2 linked regions of the Arabidopsis thaliana genome follow. The protein of the gene in region 2 interacts with the protein of the main gene of each other region in a pairwise test. Each region holds a gene or a part of one and is shown on either strand. Other genes may lie near its edges.

What was found.
Region 1: the proteins of FT (region 2) and BZIP27 interact in a two-hybrid assay, tested with the Arabidopsis thaliana proteins (one study listed by BioGRID).

Annotation. Positions count from the first base shown.
Region 1 is NC_003071.7:7,719,543-7,727,783, reverse strand, and holds BZIP27 (basic region/leucine zipper motif 27), read right to left. Parts: upstream 4,960-8,241; 5' UTR 4,799-4,959; coding exon 4,211-4,798; 3' UTR 4,137-4,210; coding exon of another isoform or gene 4,059-4,136; intron 3,905-4,058; coding exon of another isoform or gene 3,833-3,904; 3' UTR 3,493-3,832; downstream 1-3,492. Other genes in the region: MCA2 (PLAC8 family protein), read left to right, coding at 832-1,242, 1,318-1,712, 1,838-1,947, 2,069-2,140, 2,233-2,339, 2,411-2,507, 2,571-2,629. UniProt on the Arabidopsis thaliana protein: Transcription factor required for the transition to flowering promoted by FT.
Region 2 is NC_003070.9:24,327,614-24,337,067, reverse strand, and holds FT (PEBP (phosphatidylethanolamine-binding protein) family protein), read right to left. Parts: upstream 5,696-9,454; 5' UTR 5,691-5,695; coding exon 5,358-5,690; intron 4,543-5,357; coding exon 4,481-4,542; intron 3,768-4,480; coding exon 3,727-3,767; intron 3,603-3,726; coding exon 3,379-3,602; 3' UTR 3,069-3,378; downstream 1-3,068. UniProt on the Arabidopsis thaliana protein: Component of the mobile flower-promoting signal (floral stimulus or florigen). Promotes the transition from vegetative growth to flowering. Required for 'SEPALLATA3' (SEP3) and 'FRUITFULL' (FUL) accumulation in mature rosette leaves.

The sequences.
Region 1 (8,241 bases), on a different chromosome or scaffold from region 2:
ATATAACGAGTTAACTAAGTGATAAAGAACGGGAAATGAAAAGTAACGTAATAAGAACAATGATGATGAGTTTGATTTACCATAAGTGGTGCAAGCTACGTTGATGGATGATGCTTAACGATGATGGCTGCATGTTTTACACTTTTTTTCAAAATAAATATTTAGCTAAAAACTCACGCGTAAAGCTAAACGCGGTAGAATGGCTAATTCGTAATTTGCAACTCGTGCAAGCAGACTCCGACGTGGCAGTGAAAAAAGAATAATCTACATTCGATAATACGACCAAACCATCACCGAAACTCTCGTGACTCGTGTACTCTCACGATCACATTAGCTACTCCACTATCTTCTTATTTTCTTCTTCTTTTTTTGGATAATCACTTTGACCTCTCGTTCCAAGACTAATACCTTCTCCACAAGTACCATCTCTGTAATTCTTGACTTTCTTCAACCTATGAGGTGAAGCATTTCAACACTATCTCCTCTCTTACAAAAATATTCTAAATTTCTATGATTTTCCATGTTTGTTCACTTTGATTTCACTCTCCAAGAAACATTTTTTTCTCCGATGAGTTTACACTTAAACAGATAAAATTTTCACTTTAAGAAAAAAATTCTTAAAATGTTCTCTGTTTTGAAGATCTTTAACGTAGTAGAGAATTTTATTGTCGCAGTCGAACCATAATGTGATTCCTTGGTAACTTCAAATCTCTTTGTTATTCATAATCAGAATCTGTTCACACGAGGTAAAAGTCTCAAACTTTCTTATGTTCTGCTTCGTTTTAGGTCTCAAAATTTGAGTTTTTGAGCTGTTTTTGGTTAGGAAGAGAAATGGCTAATTCATGGGATCAGTTAGGAGAAATTGCGTCAGTGGCTCAGCTTACAGGCATAGACGCTCTGAAACTGATTGGAATGATAGTAAACGCTGCGAATACAGCTCGAATGCACAAGAAGAATTGTCGTCAATTCGCTCACCATCTTAAGCTCATCCGTAATTTGCTAGAGCAGATTAAAAACTCTGAGATGAATCAACGTTCAGAGATTCTTGAGCCGCTTCAAGGACTTGATGATGCTCTTAGAAGATCTTACATTTTAGTCAAAAGTTGTCAAGAAAAAAGTTATCTTTACTTGTTGGCTATGGGCTGGAACATTGTTAACCAGTTTGAAAAAGCTCAGAATGAGATTGATCTGTTTCTCAAGATCGTTCCACTAATAAATATGGCGGATAATGCTCGGATTCGGGTAAATTCGCTTGCATTGTTTACTGGTTTCTTGTTCTTTTTGTTGTTGCCATAGTTATAATGATTTGTTATGCAGGAGAGGCTAGAAGCTATTGAACGTGATCAGCGTGAGTATACTCTTGATGAAGAGGATAGAAAGGTGCAAGATGTTATTTTGAAACAAGAATCTACTAGAGAAGCTGCTACATCGGTTTTAAAGAAGACGCTCTCTCGTTCATACCCGAACATGGGGTTCTGCGAAGCGCTTAAAACCGAGGAGGAGAAACTGCAACTTGAGTTGCAACGTTCGCGGGCGCGGTATGATGCTGATCAATGTGAAGTTATACAACGTTTGATTGATGTTACACAAACTGCTGCTACTGTTGAACCTAATCTTGAAAAGGTGTTGACTAAGAAAGAAGAGCTTACCTCTAGCAAGAAGAGAGATGATTTGTATGACACGGATAGTAGTAGTATTCGAGCAGATTCAAGGTTAATCCCATTTACTCCGATATAGATGAAAATATTCATATACTTAATGTGTTCTCACAAAACGTGTTGTTCACGTTTGATCATTGAAGGCTAATGTTTGATTGGTGTCTAATGGTTGAATGTAGATCAACGTCTTATGTTTCATCCGGACATGAACTACTTTCGGGAAGATCATTGCAACACCGTGGAAATTGGCACGCCGACTTGCTGGATTGTTGTTCAGAACCTTGTCTTTGTAAGCCCTCTCATTCTGTTTTTATCTAACCAAACAATGTTCCACGCTTTCTTTTCTCGTTAAGATTGACGAGTGACACTTCAAGATTCATACTTATCTACTTTTGAATTTGTAAAATAAGGCTTGAAGACACTCTTTTTCCCCTGTGGTACATTGGCAAAGATTTCCACTGTGGCAACTAGTAGGCAAATCTGTAAGAAATCTTATATGAATGCAGACTAGTTTTTTTTCCATGTATGAGCTATCAAGAATTTGATACAAAATTTTGATTTTATGGTTTTACAGCTTCAACTGAAGTGTGTAAGAACCTAATCGTGTATTCTTTGATACTCTCATGCTGTTGCTATACTTGCTGCATAAGGAAGAAGCTTCGAAAGACACTGAACATAACGGTACATCAATTAAACCTCTACTTTCTTAAGGTCGTGATGCTAAGGTTTTTACGGATGTCTTGAATTTGCAGGGAGGGTGCATTGACGACTTTTTGTCACATCTAATGTGTTGTTGTTGTGCCCTTGTCCAAGAACTGAGAGAAGTCGAGATTCATCGAGCTTCTTACGGTAAAATATATACATTTACAGATATATTAACATACTTCTGAATCTAATTAGTATTTAAAGCAGGTACAGAGAAGAGTAATAAGGAAATGAGTCCACCAACACCTCAGTTTATGGAAGAATGAGACTTGTCCAGCACGAAACAGAACCCAGTTATTATGATGAAATGAATCTTCTTATTTCATTGTTGACATTAAGATTTAACGTAAATTAGTTTGGGAAAAATACTCCATAGAGATTCTAAAACCTTCCTTATTCTATACTAGATGCAAATAGGTGACAAATCATTGTTAACAATAGACCTTTTGAAGAAGAAAAACAAACATTTGTGGTTGAATTTGTAAGTTATAATATGAAATTTTCAGTGCAGAAAAATAAGGTTTCATGTTGTGACCAAAGAAAAAAAAAAAGAGTTTTTCACGTTAGTTTTGCAGATTGAATATTTTGTTCATAGCTTTTGGTATTTTGAAGATTTTATTTTCGTCAAATAGAGGATCAAGATTAGCTGATTCTTTCCCATTTTTTATGTGCTGCCTGCTAAATAAAGTTAAGAAATTTACACTGAATAACATGTCATCTCTATCATATTGTTGTTAATTATTCCTTTAGATTGGTTCCAAATGTTTGAGGAAGAAGGTGGATGCATCAGAAGAACAAATATTATTGGATCAGAATGAAGCAAGCATTTGTAGCATCTTTAAAGTTGCTACAAGAAGGAAGTCAGCAAATTCATTGCCCAACTTTTATTTATACATTAGATGTTACCAAATTTGCTCTTAGGTGTTTATTTTGTTTCTCTGTTGTTTCTGGTTACTAATAAAGCCAACTTTATAATGTGAGCATATTCATGGCCCAACTTTTATTAAAACATTAGATGCTACCAAATTTGCTCTTAGGTATTTATTCTGTTTCTCTGTTGTTTCTGGTTGCTAATAAAGCATACACAAAAAGAAGTCAACCAAGAAAAAATCTTCTTAGCATCATTATGAAGACTTATATCATCTGACAATACAGTGCAGTAATGGCTTAACCAGTGAAAACAGAAACTCATGTACTAGCTAGATAAGGACTTGACTTGGCATTACAATAATAGAGGTTAAGTAGAGAAGAAAAAAAGTACAAAAGTCAAAAGAGTTGATAGGAAACCAGAGAAGAAGAAGAAAGTTAGTTGCTTTCTTTTTCTAGACACTTTTCTTCTACACACACTTTTCTTTTACATTACTTACCACCACAAATTTAACTTAGCTAAAATGTACAAACTTTTTCTGTTTTTCTCATCTTCATAAGAAACACTTGAAACTCCCCCAAAAAGAAATAGTAGATTTTTCTCAAAATGGAGCTGTGGAAGACCGTTGTAGTGTTTTCTTTACTTGGTTTTGAGTTGCTTCGGCTATTTTCAGCTGTATTTTCCAAAAAACAGAAAAATAAAAATATTGGCCTTAAGTAGCAGAATCTTACATTCACAAGAAAAAGTTACTGCAAGAAGTAATGCACAAGTTTCTCAAGACAAAATTAGACTAAGGCATTAAAGCAAGAAGTCAGTGTTAGTTTTACCTGCTCTTGTTGTATCTTGAGTCTTGCATTCTCTGTCTGCAAGTGAGCAATTTCAAGCTCAAGTTCGTTTGTATATGCCTGAAAGATCCATGGACCAATTTTAGTACAGAGGAATTGTTGATTTAATACGAGATTCTGTTGATTTAGAGGAATTAGAAAGTAGAAGAGTGAGGAGAGACACATTCCTGCTTCCTAGCCCTTGAACGAGCAGCAGATTCTCTGTTCTTGATCATACGCTTATACCTTCTGTCTCCTCTAGTATCATCAGAATCTTGGCCTCTTTTCTTACCAAGACAACCAAACTTTGCAGATTCCTCAAAGGAGCGAGGGTTAGAAGCAAGAAGATTTTCTGTGGTATCAAGAAACTCGAATCCAACACCGGAGTTTAAGCTGAGGACAGTGGCAGGAGGCGGAAGAGGCAGAGAGCCATAGAGAGCAGTGACAATGGTGGAAGAGGAAGGTGGTGGTGGTGGTGGTGGTGGTTGATTCAGAGGCATGTTGAGGAAATCTTGAAAGATGGAGTTATTAGGGTTTTGGTTCTTTAACATTGGTTCATGACCAATGTTTAGTTGCCGATGGTAGTGAAGTGAACCAAGGTTGATTTCTTTCCATACTTCTTCCATGGTGACTTGAGATTTGTTATGGCCTAGGGAGGATGATGTTGATAATGATGATGATGAAGAGGAAATTGAAAAGGCACTATGGTTGTTGATCTTATTATGCTTTGCTGATGACAACATTGGAGAACAGAACAGAATAGCATAGAATGCTTTGTTTTTTGGTTTTGGGATGTCAAATGTCTTATAGCTTTGAGACAGAGAGAGAAAGATTGTGAACTTCTTGTCTCTCAATGGTCATTTCTAGTATCATGATGGTTGGGTCCAGTAGTAGAAGAAACAGAGATGTAATTGTTCTAGAAAGAAAAAAAACAAAATCAAAATATGTTAATGTAATGACTTTTTGTCACTTAATCCAAAATTTGATAGTGATAAATCTATAGTTATGACTTATGTGACGTCAAACTTTTTCTCCTAAGATAATCATTTTTATGTTACAGAAGGAATTATTTACCAATTAGCATGAATGCATGATACTTAAATCTGGAGTTGGTGGGTAAAGAGATTCTTTGTTTTGAAAAGGTAACCAATAAGCTATGGTTTTGGTCTCACTTTAATATCACAACAATTCAATAGACCCTTTAAATCGCTTTCAAGTGTGTGTGATCTTTGCTTTAATTTTTACCAACTTTTCTGTTTGTTTTTACCTTTTTGTAATTATATATTTTCAACTTTTCTAATAGTTTTGCTTACATAATATATCTCTAATCTATCTTCAAATCCGATCAAATAGATTAATGCACTACAACCACTTAAACACGTATATAAAAAACTAGATCCATGACTTATGAGCACCATATCATATCATAATTTGAGTTTGACCTCATTTCGAGTTAAATATGGTTTTGAAAAGAAGAAAGAAGTGTATATTTGTATTATGTCATTACAATAATGTCACAACATGTGATTATGAATATGAAAGATATAACTGTATATATTTATCTATTTTATACATTAATATTGGTAGTGGTAATGGAAAGCAACTTATTGGTTGAGTAAAAGATAACTGAGCCTGATGTGATTGATTTTTCAAAGTTCCCAGAATGGAGAGGCTTATAATGCCAAAGGACAATTGAAAAAAAGAAAATAAAACAGGGTCATGAAATTTTATATATTTTACAAATAATCACATTTCCTCATCATCATATTCTTTTTCTGATTAATTTATTTTATGTTTTAGATCATTGAGAAAACTATTCAATTGTGACTAACAGATATGTTATATGTTCCTCATTTCATAAATGATGTTTTTATCTAAACAATTTCGCATTTTCACCATATCTTAGCATAAAAAAAAATATTTTCTTTCTAAATCACTTTCACTTAGACCATTTCCAATGGTTACCTCTATATTTTTCTATATTTTAAAAATGATTATATTTAGAGGCATTGTGCTCCAATGGTCACTTCTAAAATAGAGTTTTTTAAAAAATAAAGGAAAAATAGAGATAAATTGTAGACATTTCTATTTATAGAGATACAATGTAGATATTTCTATTTTTCTTTTATTTTAGAGGTAACTATTGTTGGAATTAAAGCTTAGTTATTTTATAAAAGACCCAATGAGAAACATACCCAACAACCATTAGAGCACAATGTTTCTAAAATAAAGTCACCTCTGTAAATAGAGAAAAATATAAAGATCACTATTGGAAATACCCTTAACCAATCGAAGTTGTTTTATATTTTAGGTTCATTAAAAAATTCGGCGAGCCGAAGTATACACTTTTTGAGAGAATTAGTTGGATAGTAAGGGTATGGATCACCACCCGAAAAAAAAAAATCATTTTCTATATAGCTTTGATACCACTAATAATACCCCAGCCAAATCAAACATGAATTTGTTTCTGAACCCAAAAAGAAGTACCCGTTCTGATTCGGTAGAAGAAAAATAAAATCGAATACGAAACCATGAAAATCTCTTAATCGAAATTAATAAGTAATAACCCACCTTTTTGTCCAAAAAAAAAAAAAAGTAATAACCCACCCATGTTATGTTTGTCTACGGACCAAAAAAAAAAGTTATGTTTGTCTACGAGTCCAAAGACAATGAGATTGACGTGGCAAGCTCCCATGGATAGAACAAGTGTCAGGTCTGTGTTACTCTTTCCCCAAACTTCATTAGCTTTAATTCTCTTCGTATTAATCTTTGTCCAATATATCCTATGGACCTTTCGTTTCACTACATATTAGACCTAGTTTAGACTAATTTTAGATGGAGCTTTTACAGAAATGAGTAATATTTGGCCCAAAAATTTGAAATTGAGCATTTTTACAATGGGCTTATAGAGTTATGCATTTTCTATGAACTGAATTGACAAAATTACTTTAGAGTTTAATTAATGTCATCTTCTTCTTCTTTTTCGATGGCTTCACAAACATTTCTATACCAACAACCTTGTTCTAATCAACCCAATAAAATCAAGTAACTTCTTTTTAATGGAAGAAAGTTAAATCCTAAATGGATACTATATAGTGAACCCAAAGGATCCAATCTTAAACAATAGTCAAATCTATTAAGATTCCAATGGTTTTCCTTCTTCCTCTTTTAAAATAAAACGAGAGATGATAGAATTCTGATTGATATCGAGAAATTAAAATTCAGAAAAGGTATGGATGATAATCGCTTGCTTCGTCAAAGAAGAAGATCAACCACGCTAGATCTGAATCGAAATTTTGGTTGAGGTGATGGAGAAGTAATTGAGCATCAATGGTGAGTTCAACAGTAGGTTTCATGTCATTGAAGAGCCAGCAAAATAATCAAAATTTCTGGGATTTGGCTATAATGAGAGGGAGGCAGTTGGCTCCGTCAATGGCAGCGGCGGAGGTGGTAGTCGCGACGGCGAGAAAAAAAATAAAAGAGTGAGTGTAAGCTGAAAGGGGTGAAAATTATAAAACACTATCACCTATAATTACCTGTTTTTGGGAGTACATTGAAATGTTCCTAAAATCACAAAAACATACACTTTAAAGTGCTAATTCCATAATTGATTCAACTTTAGATATGACAAAGAATTAGGAAAATAAAACAAAAAATAGTCTTAAAATGATTCAGTAGACGTGACTCGTAGGCTTCAAAAGAAGACAGAATCGCAAAGTACAGTGTGGTTCTAATAGTGACGAAAATAATTATATATATATTCGTTATTATTAAAATCACATTGCATTTTATTCGCAATTAAACCGCATGTCTCTATCCAAAGCTCTAGATTTCAAATGATGATTGTTCTGTATGGTGTGGTTGCAACCCTAATATCTATACAAAACCGCCCTACAATTCTTCACAATTATCTAGCACGTCTTCATTGGTAAGTTATTTTCTCTTTCTATTCTTTTCATAGGTGATGATGTTAATTCATTCTGCTCAACCTGCTTATATGGCTTTAAAAACATGTATATTACTGTTTCAGGAAAAAGACATGTTATCACTATTTTAATTACAACTAGTAAAAATATTGAATTTAAGGTGATATGTGGTATGTTTATAAAGGTATTCTAAATTGAGTTATATTAGTTCTATATAATGTTTCAAATGTATTTTATAAGTTCTTTTTGGTTAAAAAGTT
Region 2 (9,454 bases):
ATTACTTGACAAGTGTTCCAAATTTTCTTTAGATCAAAAAATAAATAAATGTTGCAAATTTTCTGAAGAATTATAAATCAAATATGTGAGGCCACCGCCCATACGATATTAACTTTGTTGTTAAACAATGTGTTATCATAAGGTTTTTTATAAAATAAAACTGATTATAATATCCATATAGACTAATCGATATATCACACAAATTTAGAAGACTACCAAACACGGAAAGAACTACTGAACCTTGCGAAGATGATAGCCTATGATGGTAGGCGTTAGACTACTTTCCGAAGATCCGAAGATAAGGTATTACTACATCATCCTAACTACATACGACATACGTGAGTTTCGACACACCGAAGACACACATGGCTTCTGCAAAAAAGTAACATGTGGACATTCTTAACACCATGATATCTAATATTCGAACCTAGAAAGAAAGAAAAAAAACATAATCTTTTAAATGTCATCCTAAATACCATTTGTAAAGGATATGTCTCTCATTTTTAAAGTTTTTGCACTAAGATTATCGAGAGAGAATATATACTCAAATATCTAAAAGACTTAATGCGTTTCCTATATTTTTTTTTTTACGAGAGATCAATCTAACTTTAGCGTTAGAGGATCCTCTCGGAACATATATATCACAAAAGGTTTGCACGAATAGTAGTTTATATGACTTTATCAGAATATGTTGACTAAATATATCACGAAAGTACAACATCTATATATAAAAAGTAGCTTGAAAAATGGTAAAACAAACAAAATTATCATCGGAATATGATATTACGCAAAAAGACATATCAAGTTTATATAAATAGAATTAATCTAAAGAACGAAATTTAGGACTACATGCTACATAAAATATAAGAATTAGAAAGAAGTGAGCTTTCAGGCTTGAAACCTCAAAAAATAAAGTTGAGAAATCAGATCACTCAGAATTTGTTACCACTTTCAGTAACTCAAAACAATTTGTCTGGAAAAAAAAACACTTCCTATTGTATCAACCGGTCCTCCATCATAGGATCAAAGTTTCATATGCTCTCCATGAAGAGGAGATAGAATTTTTTTTCATTGTTGCGAGGCGCCCATTAAAATAAGTTCCCTATTCAAATTCCCCAATACCAACATAGTCCTTAGAACAAATTATTCCTCTTGTATAGTCCACATATATGAAAAACAGCCACATGTTCTCCCAAGGTAACTAGGTAATCAGTTTCTCGTTTGCTTTCACCTCCTTGTTAGTTGTTACCCTATTTCCACACTAAAAAAGTGAGCATATATTGACAAAAAATACCAGAACCGGTGGGAAATCTAATAACGTGAACAAAATATATATTTAAATGAATGAAATATAGTCAAACTAAACTGTTTTACATTTTTTTGTGAAACACTAAACTGTTTTACTTTAAGATGTTTTGAACGAATAAATACATGGAAGTGAACTATGTGCACATTACAACTACAACCAAGAAAATAAACAAAAAAAAAATTGTGATGATGTTTTTGGTCAGAGAAAATATCTAACGAATTTTCGAGCATATTAAACTAGCAGTCAAACATAAAATCATCGATAGACAAATAGTCAACTAGAAAAATATCATGGACCTACTACAAAAGTAGTCGAGGCGTTACATGCTCCACTATTCAAATCTGAAAATAACAAATATCGTCGTGGACATCATTACACTTGGTTTGACAAGACTGTCCGTATGATGGAGTAAAACCTGAAAATAATGGACCAATTGTTTTTTTTGGTTACTGACATGTTATATTCATAGTACTGTCACATGCGAATGATCAAGTCCCAAGAGGTGTATGTACACGTGCACCAATGAACAACAATAAATTCTTCTTTATGACAATATTCTCTTATCTATCTTTTCCTAAATATCATGCTACCTCTCCTTTTTGCTTTTTGATTTGTTGAAAAAACTTCTATTGCTTTTTATCTCTAAATAACTTTGCTTTATAAAAACTAGACACTTTCAGTTTTTGGGACGCAAAGTATTCATCTCATGCTATTTTTGTTTTAGATAATCATGGATGTCGTTTACGAGCATAAGATTCTTGTAACCTTCTTGTATGGCTGATGTTTAATTTTTTTTTATTTTTTTTTATATAACTATATCATTTGACTTTTAGCCTTTTACGTGTTACTCTTTCATTCTATATCAAATATAGACCTTCCTCTGAGTGGATATGTGGAAGTACGCAAAAAATATATCGGTTGAATGCACAGAACCTTAAAATGAAATGGTTCATAGTCAGAGTTATCTTCCAACTGTTAATAAATTTTCACGTGTATCAATAATTTCTTGTATCATATATAATTATGTCACAATTTACTAATCAATAAAAAATGTTAATAAAAGAAAATCAAAGGGGTTCGAGATCGTTTAAATGTCATCGTTGATCAGCTTGGAGGAGAGCGTTTTCATCGAACGATGGCTATCAATGTTCAAGAAAGCATTAGACAGTAAGACCATCTACGTTCATAAAGAGTTTATGGATATTTAAAGTTTAACTACAGAAAGACACTTCCTTTTTTTGGATGTCTAAAGTGTTTTATTTTTAGTTTTAAACTCAAATTTAATTTTAAAATAGAAAATACATTAAATCGAAACTTATACTATTTTAGGCGTTGAATCAGTGATCTAACCATAACTTGACAGCATAACGTCTAGACGGAGCCAATACAACCGCCTAAACCGCTTTTAAATAAAACATAAATGCTTAAGTTGTTCCTCGTATTTATCCCAAATTAAAAAAAAAACGTTTTTCTATCATGGGAACAAGATCTAACGTCGAAGTCCATTAGTAATTAATCTTCAGAATGTATAAATACTTCATATGTTTACCTTTCAAGGATTTAATAATTAAGGTTTGATCCTAGGATTCGATCTTACACATGTGTTTCTTCATACGTGAGCCCATAAACTTAAAACCAAAATATTGCTCTACTTTTCTAGCTTATGTATTGAATGCAAACTCTTTAGTTTGATATATAATGATCGACTTGGATATTATCAGTACTTTAGTAGCAACACAAAAAAGTGTATTATGGAACCCAAAAGTAAAACAGCAGATTCTTCCCACTGCCTGATTTTTGCATCGAAAAGAAATGAATACACGTAAAGTATAAATATAACACTTCATTTCATGTAGATTAATATAATTATCGCATCACACACTATATAAGTAAAACACTCTCATTTTCCTCCCCCTCTCATTTTTATTACACACTTATATATTGAACTACTATAGGCATCATCACCGTTCGTTACTCGTATCATAAAATGGTTATTAAATTAAAATACTATAGATGCATAAATCTCATCAGAGTATGCAATATCAATTGGTTATAAAGGAAGAAGCCATCTAAAGTCTTCTTCCTCCGCAGCCACTCTCCCTCTGACAATTGTAGAAAACTGCGGCCACGGGAAGGCCGAGATTGTAGATCTCAGCAAACTCGCGAGTGTTGAAGTTCTGGCGCCACCCTGGTGCATACACTGTTTGCCTGCCAAGCTGTCGAAACAATATAAACACGACACGATGAATTCCTGCAGTGGGACTTGGATTTTCGTAACACACAATCTCATTGCCTGAAAAATAAAAAGTTCATCAAAACATGTGAATTTTCTAGCTAGTAACTAATTAATTAGGCTATTTCATATACCTTTCTATATTTCTAACACCTAGCGATCTAATATATAGAATAAAACTCACCAAAGGTTGTTCCAGTTGTAGCAGGGATATCAGTCACCAACCTGTAATGAGAGATAGCCATACACATGTTTAAGCTATGGCACCACAACATAATTGAAATGCTACTTCTTTTTTTGACAGAATTGAAATGCTACTTAAACTTTATTTTCTTACAAAAAAATAATAGCAACGTAACTAATTCCTAGATTACTAGTGCAAGTGACTAGCAAAACATGCAATAACATTCAAGTGCATGAATATATAAATAAAAATAAAAAGTGATATAACAGGAAACCTAGTCCTGCTCACTTCAAGGAACAATGATGATGTCATCAGGCTATTTTAAGCTCAATGATATTCCCGTACAAAGACCACTTTAAAGTGAAAAAAACAAATCTTAGTTCAAGTCACGTCCTATACATTCTATAGAATCTATGTGCGATCAGTAAAATACACAGACATACATAATACATATTTACATTACACATAGTAAAGTTTTTGAACAAAATATGTCAATTTAGCTTGGGTGTGGGCTTTTTTGGGAGACAAATTGATGCATCGCACTCTCGAAGTTGATTTTATATGTCTCCTTCTATTAAATGTAAAATGTTTGAGTCTTAAGTTATAAGTGATCTACTCAATTTCAAAGTATCCAAAATACATGTCCAGTTTTACATGTGTAGTTGAGTGTCTATATATATAATTCGAGCAACATGTTTGAGCTATGCTATAACTTAAAAGTGAATTAATTAAAGAGTTGAGTTAGTGCACAAACCAATGGAGATATTCTCGGAGGTGAGGGTTGCTAGGACTTGGAACATCTGGATCCACCATAACCTTCATTAAACAAATAAGACGAAGAATTATAAGAAGATAAGATTATCATTTTCAAAGAAATCAAGAAAGCAAAAGGTCTTTTTTTCTTTTTCTTTTTTGAAGTTTGGAAAATGAGATAACACAAGAAAGAAGAAGAAAACTATGAATAGAAAAAAGGTAGTAGCTACATGTCTATATATAGCAGAGAGTATCTTAAAGGCTGGCTTGAATATCAGAATATCCTTATTCAAACAGTTTTCAAATATTCCACAACAGAGATTCATCAATATATATATTTGTTTTAATGAACATCAATTTTCTATATCTTTTTGCAGATATTTTAATTAGCAAAAAGGATATTTCAAAAATGCCATTTTCAAAGTATAGTAAAAAATTATACTTAAAAAAAAACAAAAAAAAACAAATGCAAATTAAATTATTAGGTAGGAGGAACAAAGAAAAATCCCAAGATTCTTATCCTAAATAATAATCACTTATGCAAGAAGTTGGTGGAAAAAATTTGGGATAGATCATAAATTTATCTCTATTTAATTTAGGATAGGAAGAAATATTTTATGGGTCCATCTTCATGAAAAAAGAAATGAAATATAAATTAGTTTTTGATTTGGGTATCATAAAGTAAAACCAAATAAATCATAAAAAAACAGAGAAAAGGAAAGCGTGGGGCATTTTTAACCAAGGTCTCTGCATGCCCAAGAAATATTTTCAGTATACCCCAAAAAAGGAAAATAATTTCTATTTTAAAAAAGAAGGTGTAAGAAGCACTGAAGAAACTAAAGAAGAAAAGAGACAAAAGGGAGTTCAAGTGAAAGAACCAAAGTATAGAAGTTCCTGAGGTCTTCTCCACCAATCTCAACTCTTGGCTTGTTTTGAACCTGAGAAGGCCTTAGATCCAAGCCATTAGTCACCTCTCTTTGGCCATAAGTAACCTTTAGAGTGATTGATCTATTAAACGGATCAAGAACGTCTCCAACAACTCTGCTTACTATAAGAGGGTCTCTTATATTTATAGACATCTTTGATCTTGAACAAACAGGTGGTTTCTCTGTGTTGATTGTTTCTGTTTTACTTGTTTTTGTTTCTGCTTCTTTAATTTGTATCATAGGCATGAACCCTCTACACATATTTATACTGTTTCGGATTTGCATTAACTCGGGTCGGTGAAATCATAACCACAATCTTTTTCTTGTCTATTGATGTACTAGAATCTAAAACTGATTCTACGTACATCACACATTGTCGTCTTATTTCATATTTTTCTTTCTTTTTATTTCTGTTTGTGGTATTCCAAACCCACCACACTAATACACTGGAAATATTCCAAATTATATCTCCCACTTGGTAGCCACTAATTTTTGATTTATTTCCTTTAACAAGATACCTCTCTCGACTAAATATTATTTACTTTTATACAAAGATATTAATTATGATAATGAGTAATCAGTAGTTTCATATATATTTAGTTTTGCCATATATTAACATAATTTATCATAACAAAGTAAGATTATTAATAAAAATAAGAAAAAAGTAGGGTACCGCCAAGTTTATAGAGAAAAAAAAATTACAGTATCACTTGTTATGTTTTTAAAACTATTATTTAGAGATATAAAGAAAAAAAAAATTCTTAAAAAATTCGAAAGCGAAAACGTTCTAAAAGAAAAAAACTAAAAAAAAAGTTGAGATAGAAATCATAGAAGAAATGATATATTTTATAAAACAGCCTTTTCTTGTAGTTATACCAGGTAGAACAAGGGATCCTTCAGGTTAGATAGAACCAGGACATTTGAGAATAGTCACCTATTTTTCTAGCCGCTTGTGTTATATGGTCGACAAACAAATCTCAAACATGTAGAATGAAGGCAGTTATTTTCATCGTCCATACCTACCAATGTCCGAACTCAAATACGCAAAATTATCTCAAAATGAATTAAGTACAAGATATCTGCAATTAAATAATATAAACCAAATCAATTGTTTTATTTCTCTTCTTTTTTTATAAACAAGCGGCCATATTATGGAAAAGTGAGTTTTATAATTGAGATAGTATCTAGTGTCTTGAAACAATTATATCATACGGTAATCTATCTATACATATAATATTAACTATTAAAAATCTAAAGCAAAATAATGATTACTTTTTAAAATTAGACATTAGTTTGGTTGTAAAAATACTAACCATCCATTTGCACGACCAGGATAATTGGTATATATACTTATGCGTCTATAAATAGGTATGGATTTGCTAATTTGAGAGATTTTCTTTTTGACATTGCATCAACATATATAGATGTAACTACCATTACCACTAATTAGAGCATTTCTTAAGTTCAAAGATGAAACTTATAACCATAGCCTAACAACTGTAGGAATTATTCTTTCTTTTTCTTTTAATTGGTAATTAAATAATTAGCGATAGGTTCTACTGTCCAAACTGGAAAATAAAGGAATTATTCAGTGATGTAGTTTTTTGTAACATCTCAGTAATGTATTCATATTGAACTTTATCTTATCATTTCAGACTTCAGCCACTGTTCTACACGTCCATAGGTTAACTTCATCTTAGGTTGAAATCCAAAATATTTGGTAACCTTCATAGAAATTTCAGATTTGTTTACTAAAAAAGACGTCTACGATCGACCATTGATAATCGAAATCGCAATTAAAAAAAACTCGAAATCTGCTATATGCACTTTTTAACGACTAGCATTTATTTTCTACTAATTTTAGTTACACACAAAAAAATGTATGCATTTTTAAATATTGGACAGGAGAGCTCAGTACTATAAGAATTGTTAGTAAATTTTGTCATTCAATCATGTTAGTGTTCATACGAAACAAAAGATGTGATGTAGAAAAAAATAGGTCGCAGTCGCAGACAAGATTAATTGTTCGCTAAAATGAGATAGATGGATTGTCCGCCACTTGTGTATATCATTTTTCATTTGTTCAGAAAAACAAAAGTGTATCTTTTTGTTTTTTGATTTAATCCGATATATATTCATTTTGTATTTCTTCTTAAAGAGACTTACGTTTGCTTTAAGATAAGTAGTTTGCTTTCTATTTTCAGCAACTTTTTAAGATTTAACTAATTTATTTCTATTATAAAATTTAACGTATCTGCCACTTGTCTTTTACTTATGAATAAAACGTTTATAGTATATCGTAAGATGATATAGTAAGCATTGACATGTAAAGAGAAAATAGAAAAATATATTTTCTTTATCTTTCGAAGATGCATTGTTTAAGAAAATCAGGTAGAACCTTTTAGAGTTTAGAGAACATATTTCAATATCATTGTAACATATTAAGTTGACTCTATATCTATGAAGCCGTGATGTTCCTAAACACTACATGTTTAAAATTATTTTCTTCAAATATGTTTTGTCTTTATCAACTCCACAAATAGCATCTTTGAAAAACATTAGTGTATTAAGTTCTAACCACCATATGTCGCATAATGTTCGCAACCTTTTGGTAATGTAGATAAAGGAAACGATTAATTGAAGATTTTTGCCGTTTAACTAAATTTCTTCCACTAGATTTTCGCATGCAATTTCCTTACGAAGCAACATATAGTGCATCACAGAACATATTCTAAGTTTCCTATTAAAAACGTTGTGAACAAATTAATTGTACTCTATATTTATTTAAGTTAATGAGACACTTTGCATATGTTTAAGCTCATAAAGCTTTGAGAAGGTTTCCCCGGTGAAAATTTTGGAAAAGTAGTTTTAGTCAAATAAAAAAAGAATATTAACTTATGTTTTGACGACCCAAAAAAAATGAAAGGAATAACTTATGAAATAGCATTTTCATTAGAAAACGAATGTACGTCACTTTAGGACTTTATTTCTAGAACGAAAACATTTTGGTTGGTTGAAATATTCAATGAAAATCAAATAATTCAAAAACATTGTGATGATTCAATCTTAGAAGAGAAGATAATTACAAAGACACATACTTGATAATAAACCATCAAAAACTGAACATAGAGATTAGTTTAGAGATTTTGATAGTATCATTGGTGTAATGACCATGATAAGAAATTTCAATAGTCTTTTGCGGTGGAGCTAGTAGAGGCTTCTGCGTCACCATGAAGAAATATCTTATCTCCAAGTGACAAAAAGGTGTTAAAGCCGATAGTCAAATGTTTGTGCTTCTTAAACAACTTCTTCAATCGTGCATACAATATAGAACGATCAATCCGTTGTGCCTTAAAATCTAGAAGATAATTAAACATAGATATTTACCTTTTGGATTACGAAGATTGGCAAGTGGATGAGGAACAAGAGATCCGGCAAACCTACGTTTACAAGTTTTTGCTAAATCTCATTATGTGAAAAACTTGATGTGATTTTGGGCTAGCATAAGGGATCTTGATAGATTTTCTTCTCTTTTTTTCTTCTTCTTCATTTAACCTATCATCTGAATAGAAGTTAGAAGAATCGGTGATTCAAAAGCAGATTTCTTTACCTCTGTGAATTGTAATTCATCGGACTCGAAAAAATCGATCGTCAGTATTCGATGACATTTCTAAATCATATCCTCATGAGTGCCCTTTGTCATCAAATTAATTGCGACACATGTTCTCTAAGCTAGAAGATAATCCTTCAATTATCTTCCCATGTTGGTTTATTATCTGCAAGTCTTAGATTAACTTGTTTTATGTTTGATATTATTCTTTACTCAATAAAGTGAGATGACAAAAAAAATTGCGACTTCTCAAATAATATGTAAGAGATTTTAGATAGTTTAGCTTATAATTAGTCTAATGAAAGTTTATAAAGTTTTGAGAAGAGGATTTCTTTTAATAAGATCCCACATTGAAAGTTTTAAAAAGAAACACTAGTATATAAGAGATATGTGTCAATCCAATTTTTGTCAATTGATATTTAGTTGGACGCATATGAAT